6 linked regions of the Callithrix jacchus genome follow. The main gene of each other region encodes a partner of the protein of the gene in region 6 in a complex. Links are inferred from orthologs where the notes say so. Each region holds a gene or a part of one and is shown on either strand. Other genes may lie near its edges.

Region 1 (5,248 bases), on a different chromosome or scaffold from region 6:
TTCTCATCATTACCTGCCTTTGAAAACACTGTATTCTGCCTTTGTAACATTGAGATCCAAATACCTCCGACTGGTTAACTTGTGACGTCACAAGATCTATAAGGTGAACAGTAATAAATGGAAGTATACTGAGGCAGGAGAATCGCATGAGCCTGGAAGGCAGAGGCTGCAGTGAGCTGAGATCGCACCACTGCACTCCGGCTTAGGCGACAGAGCGAGACTCTGTCTCAAAAAATAAAAATAAATAAATAGATAAATGCAAGTATAGTTCACATCACAGTTAGTTCTCTGAACTTTCTCATCACTATGGATGCAACAATTGTATCTATTTGAAACAGAAATGCCTTTCTATCTATAAATTGGCTTCTTATTTACAATGGAAACTTAGATGTATTTTTGTAAATTCAACACACACTTGAAGAAAATGGGCTAAAAGACATTTGAATATAACTTACCTCTTTTCTGATCATTACGTCATTTTTGTAATTGCTGTTGTTGGCATATCTAAGCTTTCCTGTGAGAAGTGGAGAAAAAAAATCAATTTATAATAGCAAAAACTGCCAAAAAAAAATTAATGACATTGTATACAATTATGAAGGCAAAAACCATTTGATACTACTACTTTTATTAGTATTTCCTCCCTCCTTGTGTAAGATGCAGAAATGTAGACAATAAATATTTGCTGGTTAAGTTTGCTGAAGTTGAAGGTGGCCAAATATTTAAATAGCCCATGCCTATACTATATATTGGGTCATTTTTAAGGCCTGTTTTCTTAAGCTACATCATGAACTAGAAAGAGAATCTGCAAAAGGCACTAACATTCCTTTCAAGTTTGTTATATGTCCGTATTGGTGCTAAGTGTCTTACCCAGAGCATTTAATCTTTAAAACAACCCTAAAAAACAAGTTTTATTATCTCACGTATTCATAGGAGAGAAAACAAAGTAACTTAACCAGGGTCACACAAGATTCAGCTCTAAATCTACTTTCTTTCAATACTCATGCTTTCTCCACTACACAAAATGTTTTAATTTCTTTCCTTCCAGTGTATGCATACAATTATGATAATGCAGACATTTTAGAATTATGACTAAGAAGCATACAAACAATGCTTCTGGGTCAAAGTTGGTGAGTTTGTTGGCTGGTTTATATTTAATTTTAATCCATCACGATTTTTGTATTCTCTGATGTATACTTCCCCTTATGGCCAGTCAGTTGCCCAGACACAGGTACAATGTACTGCAGATACTCTAAAATGATGGAAATGCCAGTCTTTGATGGCCAGGGACAGTGGCTCATGCCTGTAATCCCAGCACTTTGGGAGGCTGAGGTGGGTGAATCACCTGATGTCAGCAGTTCAAGACGAGCCTGGCCAACATGGTGAAAAATTAGCTGGATGTGGTGGCGCATGCCCACAATCCCAGCTACTCAGGAGGCTGAGGCAGGAGAATCCCTTGAACCCAGGAGGCCGAGGTTGCAGTGAACCAGGATCACACCATTGCACTCCAGCCTGGGCGACAGAGCAAGATTCCAGTCTCAAAAAAGAAAAAAAGAAAAGAAAAAGAAAAAAGATGCCAGTCTTCAGGACTCACTATTACCAATGGAGGTATGTGGAATGGCGCGGTGGCAGCTACATTGATTAGAACCATTGTTCTACCATACAATTTCCCTGATAATATTCAGGTACTTAATTTATGTGACCTGCTAAAAGGGATAGGGATAAGCATGATGTTGTTCACAGGCAGAGGAACTGAAAATAATATTAAAGAAAGATCAATTCAGGTAAATTTAGCTGAATTTATGGAGAGAGTAAGGTTGAATACAGCGATTAAGGTTTCTAAATAACTGCAGGGCTGGCTGGGTGCAGTGGCTCATCCGTGTAATCCCAGGACTTCGGGCAGCTGAATCACTTGACCTCGAGAATTTGAGGCCAGCCTGGGCAACATGGGAAAACCTGTCTCTACCGAAAAGAAAAATGAGTCAGGAGAGGTGTCACGGGCCTTACTCCCAGCAACTCGGGAGGCTGAAGTGGGAGGATCACTTGCGCCCGAGAGGCAGAGGTTGTAGCGAGCTGAGACTGTGCCACTGCACTCAGATCGGAGTGACACAGTGAGACCCTGTCTCAAAAAAAATAATAACTGCAGGACTGTAGTTAACGTGAGTTCCGTCTGAAGTGCTTGGTACTCTCCTCTTTTCCTAATATACACTCCTCCTGTAATTTTCTATTCTTGCTCTCACAGAACATTGTCCAAAACATGCTTATAGGACTTAATATGCATATTGCCTTATAGTTAAACGTCTGTGTCTCCCACCAAGACCAATCTCTTTGAGTTAAATTTAAGTCTTACTATTGTATCTTCAAATTTTGTATTTGCTTGTTGCCCAGCACAAAATGTGCATTCAAAAAAACCCAAAAAATATGTTTCCAAATGAACTTTCTTGTTGGAGGTAGGCAAGATCAATGTAACATTCTCTAAGGATAGTGCTGTCAGAAAACACAAATTGTTGCACACTACATGGGTAGCAGTTTCACCTGGTCCTCGGCTCATTCTGCTCTGGAAGTCTGGTTTTTTTCTCTCTCAAAGGCCAAGTCTCTCATTTCCAGACTCATCTCAGTAGTGTCGTCATCTAGGAAGATTTTCCTGATTCCCTCCTGTGGAACTTTGCCTCTCTCCTCTTTTTTGATACTCTATATACATGCTGTGGTGAACAATTATACTTAAGCACCTAAAACATATTATTATTCTCATTTGTTAACACGTCGAGCTCCTCCCCTTCAAATAACACACACAGCCTGAACGAACAAAATGTACTGGTTGCAAGATTTTATTCATCTATTGGACCACCAATGGTGGGGGTGTTTTCAAAAAGATGCTAGCATTTTTAATTATGGCGACCATCTCCAGAACCTTTCAAGTCCCTTCAGATGCACTGTTAAAAAATTATAATTACTGTAGGTTCAACTTTTCAGTTTGTGACAGGATTAGCTTTAATTTATAGCAATTCTCTTTACTTTATAAAACCAACTTGGGCCTCCTATATTCTTAAGCTCCTATTTCCTTCGGGGAAAGCAGTGGCCTCCGCCCCCTGCACACTCTCAAGCCTACAGAAGCTCGGCTCACCCCACACCACCCGGCCTCCCCTCGCCTTCTCCACGGACTCTAGGTCTCGCTCCCCTTTCCTAGCACCGCGTGCCGTGGGCCTCTTCTCACCGTCCGGCCGAAATTCGAACTCCAGAAACTCGTGCCCAAACTTGCCCTTGTGCCCTACGTAGTAGCGCAGATAGAAATCGCTAGCCATAGACATTTTTGTCCCTGCTAAGCCCGCCGAAAACAGACACAAGGTATCGCCCGGCGCCTGGCAGTGACGTCATTGCGCGGAATACGTGCGTCACCACAGGCGCCGCTTTTCCTCGTTCGGTGCAGCCCTGCCGAAAAGCTGGAAGGCCGAGTGTCGCTTGAGAGGCCGGAGTCACCGAAGGGAGGGTCGCAGCGACGTGACTTACGCTTTAAGAGGATTGGAAGCACACTATTTTCAAAATAAGGATTATAGTATATTAGCAAAAACTAGAAATCTGAGCATATGATAGTCTTTTTTATGGATTTAGAGCTAAGGTTTGCAAGTCGCTCTTACTTTTCTGGTCTCCCAGTCTGGCATCTGTGAGGTGGGTGTGGCTTCATGCGCCTCTAACTGTGAGCTAAATAAAGATAAAGCTTAGAATCGAAATAGCAGACTGGGAGTATAAACCGTTTTTCTTGGTTTCTAACAGGGTGCTTTCCCCTTTGGATAATGCTTGGTAGTTACCTGGACTATAAGCCTATAATAATAGAGACAAAGTCCAAGAAATCTATCACACGAAAGAGCTGAAAGTCTTAGACACACAGACACGCTGGTACACACTGAAAAACCCTGACAGTTATAACAGCTACAAGTCTATAATAATAGAGACAAAGTCAAAGGAATCCATCATACGGAAGAGCTGAAGTCTTAAAACACACACACACTGAAAAATCCTGACAGTCACCGTGCTTTTAACAGCAGAACTTCTAAGGTTTTTCATGCATTCAGTAAGGGTTAACTTTTAGTAGCCTGTGGAGTTTTGGCAATTTGATTTAAGATATAATAAGGATATTTAGCCCACGTTTCTCGCCAGGTGGAATTAAATTGGAGGCATGAAAGAATGCTCCATTGTGGGGTGGGTTTGAAGGAAAGGAAAAGACTAAAGTCTGTTTTTCAAATATGATTGATCACCCTTTTGTTACCAACACACAGAGTAATCCTGTCTGTCGGTTGATAACCTTCAATGGAATTTAGTAAAAAGTAATGAGAAGACCTGGGATTCAATCCCAACACTTACAGCTTCCTAACCTTGGGCAGGTCACTATCTCTAAGCCTGTTTGTTCATCAGTCTTATGCATATAGAGCAATCTACTTTGTCAAATTCACAGAATTCTTGAGAGATCAAATGAGAATAATATGTAAAATAAGCTTTAAATTTTATAAAACAGCTTTTAACAAACATTTCCTATGTGACAAAAAGTTTGAAACTAGAAATGAGCCATTTGCACTGGTAGTCTAGAAAAGAAAGCAAATATGTAAGGCAAATATCAGCACAAGGGAGCAATTGCTAATTGCTCTTAATATATTTAAGATAATTAAGAATATACATAGCCAGGCATGTTGACTCATGCCTATAATCCCAGCACTTTGGGAAGCCAAGGCAGGCTAATCACCCAAGGTCAGGTGTTCAAGTCCAGAAACCCTGTCTCTACTAAAAATACAAAAATTAGCTGGTGTAGTGGCACATACTTGTAATCCTAGTTACTCAGGAGGCTGAGGCAGGATAATCACTTCAATTCAGGAATCGGAGGTTGCAGTGCGCCGAGATCGTGCCATTGTACTCCAGCCTGGGTGACAAGAGTGAAACTTCGTCTCGAAATAAAATAAAATAAAATAAAAGGAATATATATAAAGCATGCTGCTAATACAGCAGAGGAAGCAAATGCATTCTATTGCAGAGTAGGGAAATTTGAAAAAAGAGAAAGCTTGTCAACAGAGGTATTTGAATTGGACCTTGAGAAGTAAGTTCTGTGTATGTTTAGTGGTATGAACAAGCATTCCCAGCAGAGAATGAACTGAGCAAAGACAGTGGTGTGAAAATGCATGTTTTGGGAAAGCCAAGAAATTTGGTATAGCTAGAGCAGAGGGTTCAAGTAGAATGACTAAAAAGGCAGATTGGGCCAAGTTAC
Region 2 (5,209 bases), on a different chromosome or scaffold from region 6:
TATTCAAAGGTGGCAAAGTGGCTAAAAGTAAACAGTAGCTTTGATGAAGCCTTAACAATGTGGTAGAGATCACAGAATGGAGAATACAAACTTTACTGGGGCAGGGTTGGGAATTCCTGCTATATCTCTTACTAGCAGGGGTAACTCTTAACAAGCCTCACAATTAATATCTGGGGTTTTATTTTCTTATAATACCCTCCCCCATCACATGGGCTTATAATTAGGGTTAAATAAGATGCCCTGCCTGACATCTAACATGCATTCAATGATATCAACTGCTTTCCCACATTCCTTTTCACATTCAGATGTAAATTAAATAGCTCTCCCTTGAGTACTATGTGCCAGTGAATATACTGAGCACTTTAAGTATAACCTATTTAATTTTATGACAGCACTTGGGAGTGGGAGGTAGCTGTTATTATCCCTGCTTTTACAGGTGAAGAAACAAGGACTTATCAAGTTCAGCTAGCAACTTGCCCGAGGTCACATGGGGTAGTAGGCAGCATACTCAGGGTTCAAACCAAGGTATGTCAATGGTTACCAGTAGTTGATTCCACATTGTAAAAGAAAAAAATACCAACTAAAAGATGATTTGGGAAATAATCCAGAAGCTGTCTACAGACATGTGTTTTTCTCCCTGTTCTCTACCTTTCAGTACTACCAGAAAGAACAAAAAAATGCAAGACAAAAAGCTGAAATGTAGCAAATGAAGGACTCTCAGAAGGCAGAAGACTCATACCTCTTTTCTGATCATGACATCATTCTTGTAATTGCTGTTGTTGGCGTATCTTAATTTCCCTGTGGGGGCAAAAAACAAATTCCATGTATAATAAAAACATATGAATAAAAGCATCAATACATACCAAGACTATCAGCAGTTCCCTAAAATGTATCTAACTTGCTCAAAGTGTCTAATAGATTTATTATTTACTCTTATGGTATATCAACAATACTAGTCTTTTTCAGTTCACTTCAGGCTTAAACAGCCAAATATACAGCTGACACTCTACTGCAAAACGCAGCTCAGGTGAGATATAAACACAAGCAGGCTCTTTTCTGACATTGTCAAATCACATTTTTGCAGGTTAATATCCTGAAAACAGGCATAGTAATTGATAACTTACCCGTACATAGGACCTCCTGAGGCTCAAATGAGTTGTGAAAACATTTTGAAAACTGTAGGATGCTGTTTACATATATTATCATGTGACTGTGCCACCCTCTATTTCTGTGATGGAAAAGCTGTTGCTTTTATCACTGAGCATATTTGGTACACCAGACCCTTTGTCCATGGGTGCATGTAATAGGTTAATGTGAGTATATGGTGGGGATGAGGGGAAGATAAAAGTAAATAGAAGACATGACTTCTCCTGCCGTAGACTAGAAGACATACATGTGAGATGAGCCAAATGAATTTATCCAACAGCCTCTGTGTTGTGTCTCTGCCTCAAGTTTCTTCACATTCAGTTCACTGTCCATACGGTGGACGCGGTGATGTGGTAACAGACCTATCAGATTGGGTTACTCTAATATTTTAATACAGTTAATGGCTTTCCACTGCCTTCCTGGTAAAATCCAAACTCCTCAACATGGCATACAGCTAAGCTGGCCCCTGCCTGCTTTTCTAGCCTCACTCCTGCAATATTCTTCTCTCACATGGCTGGAGTCAAACTATTTGGTATTCTGTCTGAAACATCCCAAGCACTTTTTGGTTTTCAGCCTCTTTGCATGTTGTCTAAAATGCCTTCTTGACTCTTGGTCTCCTAACCAATTCCTCACATCCCTTTCTCCCACATCATTTTATGTAGGAAGCCTTCTCTGACCCTCTGGCTTGGTTAGGTGCCTCTTCTCTGCTGCGAGCCTCCTCTGTTTCTTTTTACCACAACACCCAATACACTGTTTCATCACTGTTTGCTTATAAATCTATCTCCCTCACAGTCGAGGCCTGTCAGTTTCATCTTTGTGCCCCACTTAGTGGATGTTTTCTGTTATCTTTGATTCCTCTTTCCTTCACCACAGTGCCCCCTCAACAAGATCCTATCAATCAGCAAAGTCCAACTGTTTCTGCCTCCAACAGTTTCCTAAACCATCCTCTCCATTTCTACTGTTGCCGTAGTCCCAACCAATAACTTTCTTGTCTTGACAACTGCAACAGTCTCCTCCTAATCAATAGCCCTGTTTCCACTCTTGCCCTTGTGCACCCAATAACCAGAATGCTTTTTCAAGAACAGATCCCATTTCTTCTCTGTTTAAAACCTTCCAAGTCCGGCTGGGAGCAGTGGCTCACGCCTGCAATCCCAGCACTTTGGGAGGCCAAGGTGGGCGGATCATCTGAGGTCAGGAGTCCGAGACCAGCCTGGCCAACATGGTGAAACCCCATCTCTACCAAAAATACAAAATTAGCCGGGTGTGGTGGTGGGTGCCTGTAATTCCAGCTACTCGGGAGGCGGAGGCTTAGAATCTCTTGAACCCGGGAGACGGAGGTTGCAGTGAGCCAAGATAGTGCCACTGCACTCCAGACTGGGCAAAAAGAGCGAAACTCCATCTCAAAACAACAACAAACAACAACCCTTCCAAGTCCAAACAACAACAAACCTTTCAAGTCCAAAGCTTTTACCATGGTCTTTAAAGACTTACAAGGTGTGGCTCCTACCTACCTATTTGACGTCATCTCCTGCTATCTCTCACCTTATCACTCTTTAACCACACTGACCACTTGAGAGGCATGCCTAGCTCATTCCCGCCCTGCAGCCTTGACATTTGCCAATCCCTTTGGGTGGAATGGTCTTCCTCCTGAGCTTCACAAGGCTGGGTCCTTGTTGTTAAGTAGGGATCGGCTGCAATATACCCTTTACAGAGAGCTCTAATGGTCAACCTATCTAAAAGCAGCCCATCCAGCAATTATTCTACCTTTTTTTTTTTAATCACTCACTACTATCTGGAATCATCTTTTTGTTTATGATCTCTCTCCCGGCACTAAAACACAAATTCCATGAGAGGGGAAGTTTGTCTACCTTCGCTGCCGTTTCCCCAAAGAGTGGAACAGAGCCTGGCACACAGTGAGCGTAAGGTCAACACTGGTTAAATGGATTAAAAAAAAACAAAAACAAAAAAACCCTGGAGCAGACACAGGGGCGTTCCTTTCAGATTCTCGCTGCACAGGTCTCAGTCCCTTCCTCCTGTCTTTCCACACTGATTTCCGACCCTCCGCCTCCCGACTCCGGGCAGCCTGTAGCCCGCCCTTATCCCTGGTCCCCGCTCCCGGCAGGCTACAGGCTGCTTTTACCGTCTGGTCGGAACTCAAACTCCAGGAACTCGTGGCCGAACTTGCCCTTGTGCCCCACGTAGTAACGTAGATAAAAGTCACTCTCCATGGCTCGCAAAAGACAACCGAGACGGAACCTCGAAGAGAAAGCCGCACCGCCGCGGTCTGCGCCCGACACTGACGTTTGGGGCGGCGCGCGGAAGTGACGTTACCACGACGTCGCGTAGTGGAGGGTTTCACTCTTGCTAACCTCTTCGCCCGGAAGCGGCAAAAGACTGCTACACGGGTAACGAACTTTGTTTAGTCCGGAGGCTGGGCCGAGCAGCTCGGTCCCTCCAGCTGGACGCGGGAGCGAGGTTGAGATTTGACCCCTCAACCCCCTGGGTTTTCTCCAGGCCTGAGGCCGAGAGCCTACCGCTCACCAACCTCTGGGCTTTGAACGAGGAGTTCAGAGACCTCACTTAAAGACCTCGGGCCGAACACCCCGAGCCTTGCACCCGCCAGGCTCAACCTCAGTTCACAGGACTTCCGACTTGTGTGAATCGTACACCGCTCTTTACCGTCTCTGCACCTAGGTCATCTCGGCAGTAAAGTGGGGTAAAATGACCCGAGCTCCTCGGAGGACGCCGCGCACGATATGTGCCTCAAGTTGGCTTCCACTGACCTGAATGTTAAGAAAGCCGTCCTCTCTGTCTCAAAAAAAAAAAAAGAAAGTCGTCCTCAGTGACGCTCTCCCTGAATCCACAGTGGAGATTGCCATTTCCCTGGAACTAATTCACTCACACTTATCCATTGCATCCCTTTCTACCTTTTATTTCTATCTTTCTACCCCACTGGTCTCCAGAATAGGTGCTTGAGAAGTTAAAGTGAGTATTTGATCTCCCATTACTCATCCCATTTACTCAGCAGTGATTCTCAGCCTGGCTGCGCATTGCAATCACCTGGGAGCCTCTAAAAATACTGATGCCAGGGCCCCAAGCCAATTAAAATCTCCACCGCTGGGCCTGGGAATTGGTACTTTTTATAAAGCTCCCAGGTGAGTCAGAGTTGAGGACCACTGACCAAAGGGGCTCGCTCTTTTCAGGGTAAAGTGATTGTCCTCTATGAAGCCTTTCTGGCTCTGAAAAAATGTACAGTTGAGTAGGCCCAGGGCAATCAAGATCATAATTTTATAATAGGAGCCTACTTTCATTCATCTAAGTTCCAGCTTAGAACGAATGGTTCTAGAGACAGTGCCTAGATGACATCATTCTTGGGACCTGGCAACTAGAACTGGGGACAGGAATCAGACAGGACCGCAGTCTTGATTCCTGTCCCCAGTCTTAACATTGAGTCCTTTTCTCCCTGAAAAAGCATTAGAAGCAGAGTGTAGAGTAGGTGTGGTGGGGGAAAATCACTGGAGATGGGTTAAAATAATCGCTTGTGTAACAGTGACTCATTGTAACTATAGGTGAACTGACTCAACTTTTTAGACTTCAGTTTCCTTCTCTTTAAATGAGCGTAATAATGTACACCTAGCAGAACTGTTATAAGAAACAATTTCAAAATTGCTATAAAACCATAAGGCATTTTTATTACAAAACACTGGATATGGGTAGTAACAAGGGAATTGTATAAAAGAGAAGGGGACTAGACATGGTGGCTCACACCTGTAATCTCAGCACTTAAGGAGGCTGAGGCAGGAGGATCACTTGAGCCCAGGAGTTTGAGATCAGCCTGGGCAACATAGGGAGACCTGGTCTCTACAAAAAATTTAAAAATTAGGTAGGTGTGGTGGTGCACACCTGCAGTCCCAGCTACTTGGGAGGCTGAGGTAGGAGGATCATTTGAGCCTGGGAGGTTGAGGCTACAGAGAACCATGATCACACCACTGCACTCCAGCCTGAGTGACAAAGCAAGACCCTATCTGAAATAAATAAATAAAATAAGAGAAAAAGAAAAGGG
Region 3 (4,664 bases), on a different chromosome or scaffold from region 6:
ACTCCTCATTTGGAGTTGCAGCACACTTCTCACCATTGGAAGACAATCTCTAGAAACATTCCTTTTGTTCTTGAGTCATTTTAGCTAGCCAGAGGAGAATCTTCTCTCAAGCTTCCAACCTACAACAGCTCTGTGAATGGGGTATAACAAGTAGATTTACAAAGCATCCCTCCCTTGTCCAGCTGTTGCTCAGAAACTCTTGAGCTGAGATTTTTCAATATGTCAGATAATGTAATGTGCTAATTATAATCTCCCAGATGCAGAGAACAATTTGATAGGAAAAATTTGAACTTGATTTTCTTCACTGAAGTCATTTTTCATGTTCAAAGGCTTTATTACTATATTAAGATGGCAGACAGTGGGGACAAATTTCTAAATGCTGATGTTGACAGCAGAGATAATTTATAGAGAATTTTATTAGTTAAAAGAAGAAAGCCATTTCCCATGTGGACACTTAAACCTGTCATTTTCAGCCGGGTGTTGTGGCTCACACCTGTAATCCCAGCACTTTGGCAGGCAGATCACGAGATCAAGAGATGAAGACCATCCCGGTCAACATGGCAAAATCGTCTCTACTAAAAATACAAAAAATAGCCAGACGTGGTGACACATGCCTGTAATCCCAGCTACTCGGCAGACTGAGGCAGGAGAGTCGCTTGAACCCAGGAAGCAGAGATTGCAGTGAGCTGAGATCGCAGCACTGCACTTCAGCCTGGCGACAGAGTGAGACTCTTTCTCAAAAAAAAAAAAAAAACAAATGAAAAACCTGTCATTTTCTTAATGGTATCTTTAAGTCCCACTCACATATGTCTGACCTGCAGAAGTGACTTTTTCCGTGTATTACAGGTATGGCCAACCATATACACATGGGAGCAGGACCTCCACCTCAGTTTAACCGGATGGAAGAAATGGTACAGGAGGGGAAAGGGGTCGATGGGGGAGGAGGCTGCTTTACATAGCTTGTTCATTGTTTAAAACAAGATAAGGGCTGGGTGCGGTGGCTCACGCCTATAATCCCAGCACTTTGGGAGGCCGAGGCGGGTGGTTCACGAGGTCAAGAGATTGAGACCATTCTGGTCAACAAGATGAAACCTCGTCTCTACTAAAAATACAGAAATTAGCTGGGTATGGTGGTGCGCACCTGTAGTCCCAGTTACTCGCTGAGGCAGGAGAATTGCTTGAACCCAGGAGGCGGAGGTTACGGTGAGCCGAGATTGTGCCATTGCACTCCAGCCTGGGTAACAACAGCGAAACTCCGTCTCAAACAAAAAAACAAAAACAAGGTAAGATCCAAAAGTCAGCTTTCCCATTGATTATCCATGTTTCTTTTAATTTGGATCTCAAATCTTGATGTCTTTCATTGATTATTTTTCAACTCACTTTGCAAATACCTATTAAACACCTGCCATGTACCACACATACCAAGTGTTTTGCAGCAGCTAAAGGAAGGTAGGACTTGATATGAGAGCCCTCTAGAATTCTTGTTCAGGCCTCTTTCTTTGTCTCAGGGTGTCCAGGGTGGTCGAGCCAAACGCTATTCATCCCAGCGGCAAAGACCTGTGCCAGAGCCCCCTGCCCCTCCAGTGCATATCAGTATCGTGGAGGGACATTACTATGATCCACGTGAGTTTTTTCTTGTTGGGGTACTTTTCTTGGCAGGGTGAAGTGAACTAAGACACCAGGCTCCTGGCTCCTGAATTTCTCTTCTGACCTCTCAGTGTTTATCAAACATTGTCTGATTGCTCTTTTCCTCACATGCAATATTGAGAACATCTTTTAAAGGGTTTGGGGGACAAGGTGACTTGTCCATGTGATGTGAAGAGTAAGGGTTTATGAGAGTCCCAATGTGATATCTTACAGCACAGTTCCAGGGACCAATCTATACCCATGGTGACAGCCCTGCCCCGCTGCCTCCACAGGGCATGCTTGTGCAGCCAGAAATGCACCTTCCCCACCCAGGTAAGCTTTGTACCTGTGCTTGTATACCTCCGGTACCTGAGGATGTATGTTAGGAGTGCCACAAACCCCATCCTCCTCAGCTCTGTGCTGCTAGCCTGTGAGTGTGGCCATCCTTGGGCAACAAATTCCTCTTGTGTCCATCCTGAGGACTTCCATCCTGAGCCTCATTATGCTGAGCAGTCCAGCCAGGCCATCCTATGAAAATGGTGTTACTTTCTTTTTCAATTTTTGTTTTCTTCTCCTTATCCAGGTTTACATCCCCACCAGACACCAGCGCCTCTGCCCAATCCGGGTCTCTATCCCCCACCAGTGTCCATGTCTCCTGGACAGCCACCACCTCAGCAGTTGCTTGCTCCTACTTACTTTTCTGCTCCAGGCGTTATCTTTGGTAATCCCAGTTACCCTTATGCTCCAGGGGCACTGCCTCCCCCACCGCCGCCTCATCTATATCCTAATACGCAGGTGAGATGGTTAATGAGCATGTTTTTCTAGCTACACATCCTTTAATTCAGACAGGAATGTGGTATGGGGAGAATCCTAAAGGAATTTGAGAAAACATTTCAATGCCACTGATTTTTATGTGGCACCAGGACGCCTCTTAGTGGTCAGGAACTGGAAATGCAGCTTATGTAATGCCCATCATCTTTATTCTTTTCAGTTTTTTTTCTGTCACCCAGGCTGGAGTACAGTGGTGTGATCTCAGCCCACTGCAACCTCCACCTCTTGGGTTCAAGCGATTCTCCTGCCTCAGCCTCCCGAGTAGCTGGGATTACAGCGCCTGCCTCCACGCCGAGCTAATTTTTGTATTTCTAGTAGAGACAGGGTTTCACCATGTTGGCCAGGCTGGTCTCAAACTGCTGACCTCAAGCGATCCACCTGCCTTGGCCTTCCAAAGTGCTGGGATTACAGGCATGGGCTACTGCACCCAGCCTTCAGTTTCTCTAATGGTGTTTCTTTCCTGTGTTGTGGTACGTCATAGGCGGCAATATCTGCTTTTTATTCTGTTACATAAAGAAGCTGTATTGTACTCTTTATTACCCCTACCCTTGTCCTGCTTAACTTCCACCATGTTGACATAATCCAGCATCTGAAGTGTCACCACTGAACTCAGCCTTTTCCATTTGTCAGCTGGTGGTAGAAATTAGAGAAATCTGGGTAGTACTTTGAAGAAGGAGAAACAAGAGCATAATAATGATGAATTAAGGCAGAAATGAATAGTCACTTTATTTTGAAGGGTGGGCAGATTTTAGATATTTAAAAAATTATAAATAACCCAATACTCTTTTGTGGCTGAATAATATTTCCTATTTATCATAGATTGGATGAACTCATTCCTAACTTTTTCTTCTCCTGGTTTATCGGGTGCCAGGCCCCATCGCAGGTATATGGAGGAGTGACCTACTATAACCCCGCCCAGCAGCAGGTGCAACCAAAGCCCTCCCCACCCCGGAGGACTCCCCAGCCAGTCACCATCAAGCCCCCTCCACCTGAGGTATGAGAGCTCCTTCCCATACCTATTGCACATGCTCCATCAGTGGGCTTTCCTTCTCCCCAGAGGATTTCCCTTCTTTTCTGGGTGTGTTTCTATGGAAAATGGTCTCTTTGGTATGACCTGATAACAAATTCCAACTTTATTATTTCAGGTTGTAAGCAGGGGTTCCAGTTAATCTGAGTTTCTGAATATTTTAAATCTTAACATCATATAAAAGTAAGTGCACAACTTGCTGTGAATATTATTCTTAAAACTAATGCTCACATTTACTTGATTAACAAACAAAATCACCTAATTAATTCCTTTTTTTTTCTGTCGATTAGTATCACATTTTATTACACAAAATAAATTTCATCCTTGTTGCACATTCACTCTCGCTATAAATCTGGTTTTTAAAAAATCCCTAGGGATTCAGTCTCATCTATTTCATTGACGTCATGCCTCTATTGTAGTCAGAGTCCTCTCAAAGGACAAAAGCAGATGTGTCTGCCTTGGGTCAGCTGCACACAGTGTGCTCCTGGCCTGCCCGATGGAGGCGCGGCTCCCATCATCATCTGGACCGCGACTTCTAGGTACTGTCAAAGTGGCAGTATGTCATCGCCTTCACCAGCCCTTCTCCAGCAGCATAACCAGTCCTCCTAGCTGGTTCTCTGGGGACCAGCCATCATGTCGACGTGGTGGCAGTGTCCCCAGGCAGCTGACCATCCTGAGCTTCTCTTTGGGCAGGCCTGGGCCAGGGCCTTAGGGGATCTCTGTGTCCATGGCATAAATCTGAATGAGATCAAACACAATATTATCAATGATTGGCTTGGTAAGGTACTAAATACCTGCCACCATGGCTTCTCAGCCTCGACCTCAGCAGGTACCTCAACTCCATAGACCTGTAGGGCCAGGTAGAGCACTGCCACAGCTATGTGCTGGGCCTGGAAGCGGAGGCACAGCCCCCCATGGTAGCTGTCCCGCAGCAGGGCCCAGGCAGTGACGGCAACAGGAGTCCGCTGCCAGCTGTGGCGGTTCAGCCACTTCTTGAGGGAAACCAGGTAGTGGAGCAGGTACTTGTGTGGTTGCTGGAAGGAGACCTGGAAGCGCAAAACTCTCAGCATGAGAAGCTCGCACTGCACAATGCTGTCTCGGAGCTCCCAGAAGCAGGAGTCCAACTCCAGGGACTCACTGCTTGGGTTAAAGTACCTGTTGGACACATTGATGATATCAC
Region 4 (5,331 bases), on a different chromosome or scaffold from region 6:
GCTTCCTAGGGACCCCCTGGCCAGGGGGCTGTGCCCACAGCCCTGCCAGAGGGCCCATAGCAGCCCCAAGCCCACCCTGGCTGCTTAGGGATCCCCTGGCTAGGGGGCTGTGCCCACAGCCCCTGCCAGAAAACTCATAGCAGCCCCCAGGCCCATGCTGGCTGCTTAGAAATCCCCAGGCATGGGGGCTGTGCCCACAGCCCCCACCAGAGTGTCCATAGCAGCCCTCATGCCCACCCTGGATGCTTAGGGATGCCTGGGCTAGAAGGCTGTGCCCACAGCCCCTGCCTGAGGGCCCATAGCAGCCCCCAGGCCCACCCTGGCTGCTAAGGGACCCCCTGGCTAGGGGCTGTGCCCACAGCCCTTACCAGAGGGCTTGTAGAAGCCCCTAGGCCCACCCTGGCTGCTAGGGACTGGCTATTTTGAAAATATGGTGTAATATGATTCTGGGAACCATATCATAGGGAGATGGTAATGTTATTCTGTTTTTTTATATATATTAGGCACAATAACACTAGCTCTAGTTACACCTCTGTGGTATTGACAAAAATGTCATCCTCACCCCCCTTGACATTTGAATTGAAAGCACAGGGGGGTTTCACCCCTTGCAATGTTTAATTCAATATAACTGTTATTTTGTGGACATGAATGACCATATCAGAGTGTGGTTTACACCTCTTGCCGTATTCAGAGTGTTTCCATAAGGACAGCAACATTCTCCTCTCCTTCTCTGGATATTAGGAACAATATCACAGGACCGGCATACAGCCCCAGTCACATCGTGAGTAATGTCATCTGTAATCCCCTAGGTATTAGAAACAATATCACAGGGGGCTTGTGTGCTTTCTGAGATATTTGGAGTAATATTCTCTCCGTTTTTGAATATTAGAAACAATACTACAGTGGTGGTGTACACTTCCTGCGATATTCAGGGTATGGTCATCCTTTGTCCCTCGGATATGATTAACTACATCACAGAAGCATTTTACTTTGCCTGTGATATTGGAACAATCACAGAGTGTACACTTGCTTTCACAATGAGAGTAATACCTACTTAGGATATGATGGATAATATCACAAAATGGACACACATGGGTGTATACCCATTTTGATATTAGGAGTGATTTTTTTCTAATATACTAAAAATAATATCCTGGAATATACTTATAATGTGTATGTTTTTTGGAATATTACAATAAATGTATATTGTATGTACCATATGTACATTTACTGTGATGTACAATGTGTACAAAATACCTATACACAATAAATTTACATAATCTGTACAATATGTACATTTATATGTACATAATGTGTATGATATGTACATTTATTTTAATGTCACAATGATACCATATATGAAATCACAAAAAATATATATATAATACGTAGTATCACAGTAAATGTACAGATTGTACACATTATGTACATATAATTTATTTTGGCATTTCAATATGTAAACGTACATAATGTACACAGTATCTACATATGTACTATATAGACACGTGTACATATGTGTGCACATTGTGTACATTATGTACAGATGTATCATATATACACGTGTACATAATGTGCACATTATGTAGAGATGTACATTATGTACACGTATACATAATATACACAGTATATTCACGTATGCATAATGTACAGACTATGTACAGATGTACCATATATACACGTGTACATAATGTGCACATTATGTAGAGACATACAGCATGTGCACATTTGCATGATGTTTACATTAGGTACAGATATACAGTATGTGCACATGTACGTGTAGTTGCACACTGTGTACATGTAGGTGCACCTTATGTGCATATGCACAGCCCCCCAGCCCAGTGAGCAAGAGGACGCTGCATTGTCCTAGTTGCCAGCAGGGGGCATCTTGCCACTGCAGTGTGAGCAAGAGGGCCCTGCAGTAGTCCTCCACCAGGAGGGGGCACCCAAGCCCGCCGTTTCAGATTCCTGAGGCTCCGCCGCAGATGTGCGTCCGGTCACAGTGCCGCCCTTTGTCGCGTCACAGCGGTCTGCAGAGTTGCGTTCTCCTTAGTGTAGATCTGGGGGCGCTTCGAGGATGGAGCTGCCTCCTGTTCAGCACAGACCTTGGGGCTTGTGTCTTACTGGGAGAGGGCCTTGCAGTGGCCCTAGTCGCCAGAAGAGGGCGGGGGCACATCACCGGGAGCAAGAGGGCACTGCACTGCCCATCCGCCAGCAGGGGGCGCCCGAGCCCGCCTTTTCAGACGGTGTCACGGTACCAGCGTGCATTGCATCTCGGCGGTCTGCAGAGTTTCATTGTCCCATTGCAGACCTGGGGGACACTGCGAGGATGGAGCTGTGTTCTCCACAGCATAGACCTAGTGGGCAAAGCCTCACTTTGGGACAAGTCTAGGCCGTGTCCACAGTGAGTAAAATCTTTCCTGTTTGCACTAGTAAGATCTCGGTGTGGAAACCTGGACCCCAAAAACCCCTCTGAATCCTGAGCACCGAGGTTCTCCCAAGCCAAGGCCACGCGGCTGCAGTGCGAGGTGCACACCGCAGCCTCAGAATACAAATGGAGCGTTCCTAAGGCAGATATGACATCCGAAATGCCAATACAACACCCGCAGCGCTCATGTAGAAAACAGCTGTGATGCTCATGCAGGGCCTCAGTCCACAATGTTACTATATAATCCGCACTGCCCATGCGGCCGGGCCCATACAGCAGTCTGAATTGTCAACACTGACTTGTCAGTGCAAACGCAGAAACTAACGTATGGTTAGGGCTTAGGGTGAGGATCAGGGCTAGGGGTTAGGGTTAGAGTTGGGGGTTACCGGTTATGTGTTAGGATTTAGGGGCTAGAAGAATTTTAGGCAAAATAAACAGTTTATTTAAGCAAAGGAATGATTCGTGAATCACACCTGAAGCACCAGAACACAAAGCAGGGCTTGGGGCTTCGAGCTCTTAGCGGTGGCAGCTAAGTGAGGTTTCTCCTTGGCTCCAGCTAGGCGACCACCTGTTGGTGGGATGCTTCCCTCAGCGTCCTTAATCATACAGCCAGCTGGCGGCTGGGCTTATTGTCATTCACTGGGTGGTTTGCTAATGTTTTGAAGTCAGTTTTAATGCCTCCAATTCGGTTTCTGTTTGCTTTGCAATACCTCAGGCTAACGGCTTCCTCCTGTTTTGCTTTAACATGTCAAAACCATACTTCATTTTCATTTTACTTTACTGGCATTAATAGAAGTAAATTCACATTTATGTTGTTCAGAAAGTCAGTTTAATTGGCAACCTATTTGTGATGGTGCGTAAAATAATGTCTGTTCATCATTAGCATCTTAGGTTAGATGAAATATGTTAACTCTATTAAGCTTTTTTATTAAACCATAACGGGAGTTGAGTTTCTTTTTCTTTTTTTTTTTTTTTTTCTCTCTTAGGCTTTAATCATTTAAAATACACTCAAGCATCTCCTAATGATGTGAATTCTTTCTGAGAAATTTGTCCTTGGTGATTTCATTCTTGTCCGAACACCATAGAGTGTCCTTTAAAATCATAGCTGGTGTAGCCCACTCCACACATAAGTTATATGGTGTCGCCTATTGCTCCCATGCTACAAACCTGTATGGCATATCTCTGTACTGAATGCTGTAGTCAACTGTCACACCATGGCGACTGCAGATTGTGATCCCAAAATACGTGAGTCAGGTCTCAGCCAATTTAGAACGCTTCTTTTGCCAAGGTTAAGGACATGCCCATGACACAGCCTCAGGAGATCCTGACAACATGGGCCCGAGGTGGTCAGGGTAAAGCTTGCTTTTATACATTTTAGAGAGACAGGAGACACCAATCAATGTGTGTAAGATGTACAGTCTTTTGGTTCAGTAAGGTGGAACAACCGGAAGTAGGAAGTGGGGGTGCTTCTGGGTCAGAGGTAGATAAAACAAAAGGTTGCATCCTTTTGAATCCTTGATCAGCCTTCCACTGAATACAATTTAGTCTGGTTCAGTGAATCTGCATTTTCACATATACAGTAGGGCAGAGGAATGGTGTGATCTTGGCCCACCACAACCTCTGCCTCCCAGGTTCGAGCGATTGTCTTTCCTCAGCCTCCCGAGCAGCTGGGATCACAGGCATGCACCACCATGCCTGGGTAACTTTTATATTTTTAGTAGAGATGGGCATCCACCATGGCTTTTGCTGTGGTTATCTGTTCAGATATTTATCCAGTTTTAAAATCACATATGTATTGTGTAAAATCTTCTCACGTCTGTCTTGTCTTTTTGTTTTATCTACAGTTTTTCACAGTAGAATATGTAGTTTTATAAAGTCTGTTATCAATATTTTCGTGAATTGGCATTTGATGTTGTGTATTAAAACTCAACACCGGCCAGGCACGGTGGCTCAAGCCTGTAATCCCAGCACTTGGGGAGGCCGGGGTGGATCACGAGGTTAAGAGATCGAGACCATCCAGGTCAACATGGTGAAACCCCGTCTCTACTAATTAAAAAAAATAAACAATAAATTAAAAAAAAAAAAAAAAACTCAACACCAAACCCAATGTCATCTAGATTTTCTTTTAGATTTTTTATAGTTTTGTATTTCATATTACAGTCTCTGGACTATTTTGAGTAGGTTTTTGTTTTTCTTATTTCGTGTATATAGTCATTTCATTCTACATGGCTTCCAAAGTCTTCTGTCACCATTTTTGGGAAGAATATGGCTACAGTGGGCTTCATTTTGGCTTGAGTTTCCAAAATTATTACATTGAAGAAACTGAATATTGAATTTTGTAGGTATTTCAGGACAGCCAGGTGGGGGTGCACATCTGCTGAGAAACTGAGCAAGAGTGTCTGGGCTGAGCTCTGGTGCCACCAAAGGGTATGTGAACTCACTCCTGACCAACTTCCCTCTGAGGTGCCAGGGCAGCACGAGGGTTGTGTCAACTAAGTCTTCTTCATTAATGAGTAAAAAGCTTCCTTTTCACAGCTGTGAGTGCAGAGAAGAGAGTCTTTAGAGTACTCAGCAAAGAAATTCATCTAGAAAAATGAAATCCCCAAATCCCATTATTACAGCTACACCCTGATATCATTGTCAACATCCAGACACAGTGGCTGCTAAGATATGTTCTCACAGTGGCCTGTAATATAATAATCACACCATGTCCTAACATTGCTATGATATTCATACCATGCCCTAACACCAATATAATACCCACACCATACTCTAACACTAATCTGATATCCACACCGTTGCTTCTAGTACTAATGTAATACTATCCACATGGTTTCCTGATGTTAATGTAATATCTGCACTGTTCTCCATCACCAGTATAATATATACACCATGTCCTAACACTA
Region 5 (4,664 bases), on a different chromosome or scaffold from region 6:
AGAACAGCTTAGGACACCCCGCAGTGTGACCCAAGCAGATTAAGAAGAGTGTAGGCCTGTCAGCCACACACAGACTTAATGCTAGCTAGGAGGAGAGAACAGTGGCTACAGTGACTTTCCTGGTCTTTTTTTTTTTTTTCTTAAAAAGTAGTGTAGGTTGTTTGTAATAGAGTCAAACCTAGAGAAGTAATTAGAGTAAAGTAAGCTTCTTCCCACTTCTCTGCTGCAGTACTGCCGGGAACATTTTGGCACTTAAACTTCCAGATGCTGCGCACCCAAAAGATTTAAAAAACAACAAAACAGAACTGGGGTCTCTGTATACTACACCTTGGTGGTGCTGTTTAAATAGAGATTTGTCTTTACAAATGACATCCCATGTTAGTGTAGAAATCCTCTCAGCCCAGTTCATTGAGCCTCTGGGGCTTCAGAGCTTGCTATGTTGAACATTGGGTTAGGCTGGAGGGCGGGTTCAAAAAGCAAACCATGTCTGCCCCTGACAAGCTCACAGTACAGGGTTTCTTTTTTTTTTTTTGAGACGGAGTTTCGCTGTTGTTACCCATACTGGAGTGCAATGGCACAGTCTCGGCTCACCGTAACCTCCGCCTTCTGGGTTCAAGCAATTCTCCTGCCTTAGCCTCTTGAGTAGCTGGGACTACAGGCGCGCACCACCATGCCCAGCTAATTTTTGTACTTTTTGTAGAGACGGGGTTTCACGTTGTTGACCAGTATGGTCTCGATCTCTTGACCTCGTGATCCACCCGCCTTGGCCTCCCAAAGTGCTGGGATTATAGGCGTGAGCCTCCTCGCCCGGCCAGTATAGGGTTTCTATGCTGTCATTGTGAGAGCTAATTTTCTGTTTTATTTCAGGTTTTGAAAAACCATCAGCGATCCAGCAACGAGCAATTAAGCAGATAATCAAAGGGAGAGACGTCATCGCACAGTAAGTCGTCCTGCTGTCAGCACAGGCTGGATGCAAGTCGGGGCAGTACAGTTAGATGCTCTGGGATGACCGTTTTCCTCAGTTTCTACACGTTCAGTACCAACGCTTTCCCTGACTTTAGCCACAGGGTTTAATAATTTTTAAATTTGTGTTCTCTACTCTAGAAGGCTTTCATTTTTTTTTTTTTTGGAGACGGAGTCTAGCTCTGTTACCGGGGCTAGAGTGATCTCGGCTCACTGCAGCCTCCGCCTTCCAGGTTCAAGTGATTCTCCTGCCTCACCCTCCCCGAGTAGCTGGGATTACAGGCGCCTGCCACCATGCCCGGCTTAGTTTTGCATTTTTAGTAGAGACAGGGTTTCAGCCTCTTGGTCAGGCTGGTCTTAAACTCCTGACCTCAGGTGATCTACATGTCTTGGCCTCCTAAAGTGCAGGGATTACAGGTGTGAGCCACTGTGCCCAGCCGAAGGCTTTCATTTTCTTAGCCAGCTTTGCTTAGTGGTTTTTGGTGTGTGGAATTGTATGTAACACAATTTCGGAAAAACAGACTGTGCTTTGCTTCTGCTCTCACACCACCACCACAGTCATCAGCACAGAAGAAGACTTCTGTGACCAGAGGTGTGGGGGTTTTCCAGCTGGGTGTCCTTCAGGTCAACTCTCATACCATCTGCCTGGAGGTGGGCCATGTCCCACAGGTCAAGGGCTCAGTCTCACAACTGCCCTCTTTTCAGATCTCAGTCGCAAGTCTGGACGTCTAGAACTTGTGACCAACCAGCTTCAAGTTGAGGTTCCCACGGCCCCCTCTTTAGGTTGGATTGATTTGCTGGAGCAGCAGCTCAAAGAACGCAAACACATTTAGTGGCTTATTATTCAGGGTACTGCAAAGGATACAGATGTGGGGAAGGGGTGCAGCCTCCAAGAGGCGGGTGGTCACCCTCCCAGAATCTCCTTGTGTTTGGCTATCTGTGCTCAGCCATCCAGAAGCTCTTCGAACCTGGTCCTCTTGGGTTTTTATGGAAAATTCCACGAGGTCAGCATTCCTTCCCCCTAGGGTATAGGGCAGGACCTTCTCTGGAATAATATCATGATGCTTTTGAAAAAAAATTTTTTTAATTTTAATTTTTTCCTTTGAGACAGGGTCTTACACTATCTTCCAGGCTCCCATGCTGGAGTGCAGTAGCGTGATTACAGCTCACCGCAGCCTTGACCTCCCAGACTCCAGCGATCCTTCCACCTCAGCCTCCCAAGTAGCTGGGACTACAGGCACACATCACCATGCCCAGTTAATTTTTGCATTTTCTGTAGAGACAGGGTTTCATTGTGTTGCCCAGACTGCTCTCAAACTCCTGGCGATCTGCCTGCCTTGGCTTCCCAAAGCTTTCAGATTACAGGCATGAGCCACTGTGCCTGGCCTAAACACTTTTTTTTTTTAAAGATACGGGGTCTCCCTTCATCACCCAGGCGGGAATGCAGTGGTGCAGTCATAGCTCACTGCAACCTCTAACTCCAAGGATTAAGGAATCATCCCACCTCAACCTCCCCAAGTAGCTGGGACTACCAGAATGTGCCGCCATTCCATAGTTAGTTTTTTGTTTTGTTTTGTTTGGAAGTGGGGTCTCTCGCTGTATTGCACAGGCTGATCTTGAATTCCTGGCTTCAAGCAGTCCTCCTGCCTCTGTGTCCCAGAGTGCTGGGAATACAGGCCTGAGCCACCACACCATGGAATGAGGGTCTTATGACTCACAGTCTTAAAGTCAGGGGAGATTAGAGCCCTGCTGTGGAGTAGGTGAAAGGAGAGAGCAGAAGGTTAGAGAGACTTTCCTGAGGCCTAACAAACCCATCAATCTAATAAGACTGTAACAGGGTTATGGAGCTGTGAGTCAGGAACTGTGCATAAAAACCTAGATACAGCTATATCTCCTCGCACCACAAATCCTCTTTTAATAGCTTTATTCCTCATTTGCCTAATTTAAAAAAGACTCATTTACATACAGATTTCTTTGGAGGAGTTAGTCCAAAATCATAGAAGGAAAAGAGTTGTATTTAGATAAAGGGGTATCCTCCTTTTACTGACACCTATGAAACACCTCTTGAAGTTAGTCTTTTGCTCCATTGCCCCCTTCAGAAGCCATGTCTACTCTCCTCATGGACACCTAAGAGCTATGACACTGGGCCTGAGTCCCACCTCCTCGCAGTTGAAATGTTGTTGGGTACGGGAGCTTCTTGGAAGAAGGTACCCAGGTGCCTCTGGAGCCCAGCCCTTAGGACACAGCGGTGGAGTGGCCTGTCCTCCCTCTAAATCCCACTGCTCTTGTTTTCTTGAATAGGTCTCAGTCCGGCACAGGCAAAACAGCCACCTTCAGTATCTCAGTCCTCCAGTGTTTGGATATTCAGGTAATTTGCCACTCTTAAAACAAACTGTTCTGTAGTTCTAGGGGAGTCTTAGTTGTACGCTAATATTGGCACTAACTAATACTCTGTCATGATTTCCTTCTTAACTGGAGGAAATTCTTGTCTGCAGACAAGGATCTAGACTGACACATTCAGTTATTGCTGGATTTGCAATTTAAATGACAGTAAGATTTGCCGACCTCTGTAAGAGAAATCTGATTAATATGAGATACCGTTCCTCATAGATCTGAGTGTGAATTACTGCAGTCCACCCTGTTAATACTGAGGATTCTCTGTTTTCTGATAATTTCACCAGGTTCGTGAAACTCAAGCTTTGATCTTGGCTCCCACGAGAGAGTTAGCTGTGCAGATTCAGAAGGTGAGATGGCTGAAGATAGTGGGGTCCGATTTGCAAGTACTGCTTTTGCGATTTAGTTGTGAAACACTCATTTATAATCCAGTCCTGTTTTCTGATACCTCGACCTGCTGAACGTTTTGCCATGAACCATTATATAAATTGCTGGTTTGTAGTAAGTCATTTTTAGTGTGGCTTGCGTGCTCTCAGTAGTTTTTTGCAGCCTTAGAGTGTAGATTTTTCAGCAAAAAATCAATTTTAATAAAAATAGGCCAGGCTCAGGGGCTCACGCCTGTAACCGCAGCACTTTGGGAGGCCGAAGCAGGTGGATCACCTGAGGTCAGGAGTTGGAGACCAGCCTGGTCAACATGGTGAAACCCTGTTTCTACTAAAACTACAAAAAATAAGTTGGGTGTGGTGGTAGTTGCCTGTAATCTCAGCTGCTTCCGTAGCTGAGCAGGAGAATCGCTTGAACTCGGGAGGCAAAGGTTGTGGTGAGCTAAGATCATGCTATTGCACTCCAGCCTGGGCAACAAGAGTGAAACTTCACCTCAAAAATAATTATAATAATAAAACAAATTGTACCTATTTTATACTTACATAGCATAAGATACATATTTTAAAAGATAGCTATTAAGATGTTAATGTGGGTGTTTTTGGTAGATGGGATTATGAAATTTATGTATTATGTTCTGCTAATAGTATAGCTTTTGTAATAAGAAACCAGCAAAATTAACCTGAAATTGTCAGAGAAAATTGCAGGAGAACTTTGTGGTTTCGAGACATAAATAATGGCATAAGTAATCATTGGTGATGGTCTCAGAGTAGAAGCCATTTTTCTTTCTGGGGAGATGTGGATGTTGCTGACTCTGTCCCACCCCCGGACATGAACCTGTGCTTTGATTTAGGGCCTGCTTGCTCTCGGTGACTACATGAATGTCCAGTGCCACGCCTGCATTGGGGGCACCAATGTTGGGGAGG
Region 6 (5,098 bases):
ATAGGAATCCAAGAATAGGCTGGACAATTGGAGTGAGAACATTTAAGTGCAGAGTCAGGGGAATATATTCTAGATGTCGGCAAAAATGGGAGTTGGCCCTGAGGTAGCTTTTCACCTTGGGCTCCTATTGCATCTTTAATTTGGTTTCTGTCCTCCATGGGTGTTTGTGTGTGTCTCTCTTTTTTTTTTTTTTTTGACATGGAGTCTCACTCTGTTGCCCAGGTTGGAGTGCAGTGTCATGACCTCGGCTCACTTCAACCTCTGCCTCCCAGGTTCAAGTGACTCTCCTGCTTCAGTCTCCCAAGTAGCTGGGACTACAGGCACCCACCACCACGCCTGGCTAATTTTTGCATTTTAGTAGACAGGGTTTCTCCAAGTTGGCCAGGCTGGTCTCAAACGAATTCCTGACCTCAGGTGATCCACCCACCTTGGCCTCCCAAAGTGCTGGGATTACAGGCCTGAGCCACCGCGTCCAGCCAACTGACCTGCTTTCTATCACTGTGGTTTTACCTTTTCTAAAATTTCATATAAATGGAATCATACAACATGTACTCTCTTTGTATCTGGATTCTTTCACTTAACATAATCACTGTGAGATTCACTTATGTTGCTGAGTATATCAACAGTTCATTTTTATTGCTGAGTAGTATTACATTCTATGGATGTACCATATTTTGTTTATCCTTTTCCCTGTTCAGAATATTTGGATTGTTTCCAGTTCGGAGTTATTATAATGTAAAATTGGCCTTGTTTTTTTTTTTTTTTGAGACGGAGTTTCGCTGTTTTTACCCAGACTGGAGTGCAATGGCACGATCTCGGCTCACCGCAACCTCGGCCTCCTGAGTTCAAGCAATTCTTCTGCCTCAGCCTCCCAAGTAGCTGTTACTACAGGCGCGCACCACCATGCCCAGCTAATTTTTGTGTTTTTAATAGAGATGGTGTTTCACCTTGTTGACCAGGATGGTCTTGATTTCTTGACCTTGTGATCCACCCGCCTCGGCCTCCCAAAGTGCTGGGATTATAGGCGTGAGCCACCGCGCCTGGCCAAAATTGGCCCTTTTTTAAGTGAAGAGGAAGATGATCACAACTAAATCAAGCTGGTTTTATTTTTATTCCCCTCCCTGTGGGACATCAGTACCTGGGGAGAAGAATCCTTTTGCTAAAATAAGGTGATGAAAACAAATCTCGTATATTTTGCTCATATTACTTCTTTAAATATCAGTATCTTGTGTTTATTTATTATTATTCTTTTTTCGATACAGTGTCTTGCTCTGTTGTCCAAGCCCAAGCTGGAGTGCAGTGGCCCGATCATGGCTCAATGTAGCCTCGAACTCTTGGGCTCAAGATCCTCCCTTCTAAGCCTTACCGAGCCTAGGACTACAGGCGCGCGCCACTGAACTCGGCTAATACTGTAGTGTTTATTAAGTGTCTGTAAATCCTAATCAATATAAGGAAAATAAATTCTTTTTAAAAATGTCAGGCTTTTTCTTTGAGTTGTAGGAAAATAAATTATAAAGCCTCTGAATTCAATGATAGAAAATACAAGTCGCTCCCATAGTGAGGCAAAATTTGGACGGCATTGAGTTTATCTGATGAAAACTGAGCGTGCAGAACCTATCTTTCGACCTGAAAATCTCTGAAGATGAAAGGATTCAATTTGCTTACAAACAGGGACCCTGAGCTATCTCTGGCTGCTTTGCATGCCGGGATTTGTAGTTCCCGATATAGTCACTTCAAGATGGCGGAGTTGCTAATGACGCGCGAAGGAGCTGCCCCGAGGGAGTCTGGGCCGCGAGGGGATAGGGTGACGCAAGAACTTGGCGGGCTGGAAGTAAAAGCCAGGTGTTGAAACCTTTGCACTGAGAAAGGCCCAACTCTCGCGATATCTTGGCAGGGCCCATTGGAACTTGGGGCCCGACTTATCACCACGGGCTTTTGTTGGGGGCGGAGCGTTGACGCGAGCTGCCCGGGAGCCGTTGGTGCCGGGTGTAACGCGTTGCGGCCGAGCCGCCTCCGTGACGGACGTAACCATGAAGGAAGAAAAGGAGCACAGGCCCAAGGAGAAGCGAGTAACCCTGTTAACGCCCCCTGGAGCCACAGGCAGCGGTGGTGGGACTTCGGGGGACAGTTCCAAGGGGGAAGATAAACAGGATCGCAACAAGGAGAAGAAAGAGGCGCTGAGCAAGGTGCCGAGGCGGCCGCTGGCCCGGGAGAGGGTGGGACGGGTCCGCGAGTGCTGGGAGGATGGCTGGGAATGGGGCTGCCCCTTTTTTCTCTCTCTCTTCTATCTCTTCACCTGAATGGAAGTCGCATTATCCTGTTTCATCCAGTCACCCGAAATGGGGAGAGCCTCTCCCGGCCAAACCCTGGTGGGGGTGAGGAAAAGGGGGACTCCCTAAACGGGAAGGGTTTAGGTCAGAGCTGTGAGATGATAATGGGAGGGGAGAGCAACGGTAAAAAGAATGAGAAACTGGCCGGGCATGGAGGCTCACGCCTGTAATCCCAGCACTTTGGGAGGCTTAGGTGGGCGGATCACTTGAGGTCGGAAGTTCGAGACAAGCCTGACCAACATGGTGAAACCCCGTCTCTACTAAAAAAAAAAAAAAAAAAAAAAAGAGAGAGAGAGAAACTAAAGGTGTAATGGGGGAGAAAAATAGTGAAAGGGACATGAGGGAATAGGAATATAATTAACGGAGGCGAGTTGTGCAGGGGTATTAATGGTATGGGAGGGTAGATCGAGAGCATCCTATTTTGAGAGCAATGGGTGGATTTTTAGAGTTTTGAATTCTTAAGTTGAATGGAAAAGGATTTTGTTTTAAGATGTGTTGTATGTCGGAGAAAGTTGTTACTGAATCAAGATTTCGTGGCATCCACAAAGACCAGGGTTGGCTTGCTAATTTCTTGCCACTACATTTGTTAAAAAATGGGTGATCTTTTCGATTTTGATGCACAAACTTGGTAAACTGCAGGGCAGCTGTAAAGAGAAAAACCTGAGATTTCCTTGTTCCAGGCGGTTCTCATTTCCAAGGGTTTTTTTTTTTTTTTTTAAACCGTGTTACTATTATGTGTGACTAATTCTGAGCATTGGGCTGCAGAAGAATATTTCCTCTTGGGTTGTTTTTTTTTTTTTTTTTTCCTCCTGGGTTTTTACAAGTGATCTCATATTTTAAAGCCCAGCTTTCTTCAGGAACTGTGATTCTTTCAAGTATGACAGAAAATTGATGTGCACTAATTTTCTTTTCCTATGCCTTTCTTAAGGTGGTAATTCGAAGATTACCTCCCACTTTGACCAAGGAGCAACTTCAGGAACATCTTCAACCTATGCCTGAACATGATTATTTTGAGTTTTTTTCTAATGATACGAGGTAAAAAAAAAAAAAGGAGGAAAGGGGTAAATAAAAAAAGGTTTCTTCCATTCTTTTTATCCTACTGTTTTTCATTTGATTTTTGAGCTTGTCTTTAATATATGCATACTTGTAATTGGGCCAGACACCTGCAAGTACATTTACATAATTGCTTTCCTTTCTGCAGTCTGTATCCTCATATGTATGCCAGAGCATACATCAACTTTAAAAACCAAGAGGACATTATTTTGTTCAGGGATCGCTTTGATGGTTATGTATTCCTTGACAATAAAGGTGAGTGCTGGTAACTGAAGTAAAAAGGGAGTTTCTTTGTCATTTGGATGTTTAAGACAATATATGCATTGTGTTGTTTCCTGGGGGATAAAATGTGCAACATTTAAATAGTGTTAACACATTCAATAAGCTTATTGCAGTGTTACAAATAGACATGTTACTTTGTTACCTTTCATAGCCCTCAGTTATTTTTATTAACCTACTACTTCTTTTTTATTTCTTTTTTCGAGACGTTTTCGCTCTTGTTGCCCAGTCTGGAGTGCAATGGCGCAATCTCGTCTCACCACAGTCTCCCCCTCCCAGGTTCAAGTGATTCTCCTGCCTCAGCCTCTTGAGTAGCTGGGACTACAAGCATGTGCCACCACGCCTGGCTAATTTTGTATTTTTAGTAGAGATGGGGTTTCTCCATGTTGGTCAGGCTGGTCTCGAACTCCCGACCTCAGGTGATCCGCCCGCCTTGGCCTCCCAAAGTGTTGGGATTATAGACATGAGCCACTGTGCCTGGCCATAACCTACTATTTCTTTAGTTTGATCAACTGAGTGAAATTGCCACTGTTTTCTCCTCATGTGACAGATTTTTTTGCCCTGGCTTAAACCCGCTGTTTTGAATATAGAGTTTCAGCCACAGTACTGATAAGTGACTATTCAACTTGTTTGATAAGTGTTAAATATTTACTTTATAGTTTGCTTCAAGGACAAGCATTTACTTAATTCAGATCCATTAAGCCAACAGTTCCCAGTTGAGATACTGTTTAACATTCTCACAAAGTTGTATATAAAACATGAAACTTGATATATCTCTTACTTTGTTTTTTGTTTTTATGGTTTTTTTTGAGATGGAGTTTCGCTGTTGTGCAGGCTGGAGTGCAGTGGCACGATCTCGGCGCACTGCAACCTCTGCCTCCTGAGTTCAAGCAGTTCTCCTACCTCAGCCTCCCAAGTAGCTGGGATTATAAGTATGCGCCACCAAGCCCAGCTAATTTTGTATTTTTAGTAGAGACGGGGTTTCACCATGTTGGTCAGGTTGGTCTCAAACTTCCAACCTCAGGTGATCCACCCGCCTCAACCTCCCAAAGTGCTGGGATTACAGGCATGAGCCACCTCGCCCGGCCCTTAACATCCGGGAAGGTCCAGTCTATAGGGAAGACACATTTCTGCTTTAACACTCTATTGTCTGCTACTTACAACATTTAGCCAGAGAATGTCTAAATTGCCACTTTTCTTTGGTTTGCAGTTATACATAAATAGTGTGTCTCCTTATTTAATTTTGGTTTCTTTCAGTATTATTTCAAAGTTGGTAAAAATTAAATCTTTGTCAGGGACTATGCCAGTGAAAATTGAAGGATTGCCACTGTTTGTCCAACTTTTATTAATCTCCCCAAGCCAGCTGTTTTTCCACTCCAACTATTTTATTCCAACTATTTTATTTAGATATTTAAATCACTAAATTCTAGTTACTT

What was found.
Region 1: UPF3B (region 6) and MAGOHB share a complex: the UniProt entries of both Homo sapiens proteins name them as parts of the mRNA splicing-dependent exon junction complex. The link is inferred for Callithrix jacchus from reciprocal best matches to the Homo sapiens genes UPF3B and MAGOHB.
Region 2: UPF3B (region 6) and MAGOH share a complex: the UniProt entries of both Homo sapiens proteins name them as parts of the mRNA splicing-dependent exon junction complex. The link is inferred for Callithrix jacchus from reciprocal best matches to the Homo sapiens genes UPF3B and MAGOH.
Region 3: UPF3B (region 6) and CASC3 share a complex: the UniProt entries of both Homo sapiens proteins name them as parts of the mRNA splicing-dependent exon junction complex. The link is inferred for Callithrix jacchus from reciprocal best matches to the Homo sapiens genes UPF3B and CASC3.
Region 4: the proteins of UPF3B (region 6) and UPF2 are in contact, whole or in part, in a crystal structure (PDB 7NWU), measured with the Homo sapiens proteins. The link is inferred for Callithrix jacchus from reciprocal best matches to the Homo sapiens genes UPF3B and UPF2. Residues at the interface, in NP_542199.1 of Homo sapiens: Lys52, Arg56, Arg57, Tyr79, Glu81, Phe83, Asn85, Asp86, Thr87, Ser88, Leu89, Tyr90, His92, Tyr94, Arg96, Tyr98, Ile130, Glu132, Pro135, Phe136, Lys138, Ala139, Ala140, Arg147, Asp148, Lys150, Val151, Gly152, Thr153, Ile154; in NP_056357.1 of Homo sapiens: Lys767, Arg768, Pro769, Pro770, Leu771, Glu773, Tyr774, Lys777, Lys790, Arg793, Gln794, Arg796, Lys797, Leu798, Pro799, Trp800, Gln801, Cys811, Ile814, Asn815, Trp817, Tyr837, Gln838, Glu839, Asp840, Ile843, His844, Val846, Asp847, Gly848.
Region 5: UPF3B (region 6) and EIF4A3 share a complex: the UniProt entries of both Homo sapiens proteins name them as parts of the mRNA splicing-dependent exon junction complex. The link is inferred for Callithrix jacchus from reciprocal best matches to the Homo sapiens genes UPF3B and EIF4A3.

Annotation. Positions count from the first base shown.
Region 1 is NC_133510.1:12,487,205-12,492,452, reverse strand, and holds the start of MAGOHB (protein mago nashi homolog 2), read right to left. Parts: upstream 3,383-5,248; 5' UTR 3,306-3,382; coding exon 3,212-3,305; intron 515-3,211; coding exon 456-514; intron 1-455. UniProt on the Homo sapiens protein: Required for pre-mRNA splicing as component of the spliceosome. Plays a redundant role with MAGOH in the exon junction complex and in the nonsense-mediated decay (NMD) pathway.
Region 2 is NC_133508.1:90,377,891-90,383,099, forward strand, and holds the start of MAGOH (protein mago nashi homolog), read right to left. Parts: upstream 3,445-5,209; 5' UTR 3,375-3,444; coding exon 3,287-3,374; intron 799-3,286; coding exon 740-798; intron 1-739. UniProt on the Homo sapiens protein: Required for pre-mRNA splicing as component of the spliceosome. Plays a redundant role with MAGOHB as core component of the exon junction complex (EJC) and in the nonsense-mediated decay (NMD) pathway.
Region 3 is NC_133506.1:71,777,599-71,782,262, forward strand, and holds part of CASC3 (protein CASC3), read left to right. Parts: intron 1-846; coding exon 847-911; intron 912-1,508; coding exon 1,509-1,623; intron 1,624-1,860; coding exon 1,861-1,959; intron 1,960-2,209; coding exon 2,210-2,421; intron 2,422-3,328; coding exon 3,329-3,451; intron 3,452-3,602; coding exon 3,603-3,626; 3' UTR 3,627-3,667; intron 3,668-4,044; exon of another isoform or gene 4,045-4,664. UniProt on the Homo sapiens protein: Required for pre-mRNA splicing as component of the spliceosome. Core component of the splicing-dependent multiprotein exon junction complex (EJC) deposited at splice junctions on mRNAs.
Region 4 is NC_133508.1:2,072,418-2,077,748, forward strand, and holds the start of UPF2 (regulator of nonsense transcripts 2), read left to right. Parts: upstream 1-2,011; 5' UTR 2,012-2,401; intron 2,402-5,331. UniProt on the Homo sapiens protein: Involved in nonsense-mediated decay (NMD) of mRNAs containing premature stop codons by associating with the nuclear exon junction complex (EJC).
Region 5 is NC_133506.1:135,886,488-135,891,151, reverse strand, and holds part of EIF4A3 (eukaryotic initiation factor 4A-III), read left to right. Parts: intron 1-867; coding exon 868-940; intron 941-3,264; coding exon 3,265-3,331; intron 3,332-3,644; coding exon 3,645-3,707; intron 3,708-4,591; coding exon 4,592-4,664. UniProt on the Homo sapiens protein: ATP-dependent RNA helicase. Involved in pre-mRNA splicing as component of the spliceosome. Core component of the splicing-dependent multiprotein exon junction complex (EJC) deposited at splice junctions on mRNAs.
Region 6 is NC_133524.1:115,825,806-115,830,903, reverse strand, and holds the start of UPF3B (regulator of nonsense transcripts 3B), read left to right. Parts: upstream 1-1,993; 5' UTR 1,994-2,030; coding exon 2,031-2,186; intron 2,187-3,258; coding exon 3,259-3,365; intron 3,366-3,531; coding exon 3,532-3,638; intron 3,639-5,098. UniProt on the Homo sapiens protein: Involved in nonsense-mediated decay (NMD) of mRNAs containing premature stop codons by associating with the nuclear exon junction complex (EJC) and serving as link between the EJC core and NMD machinery.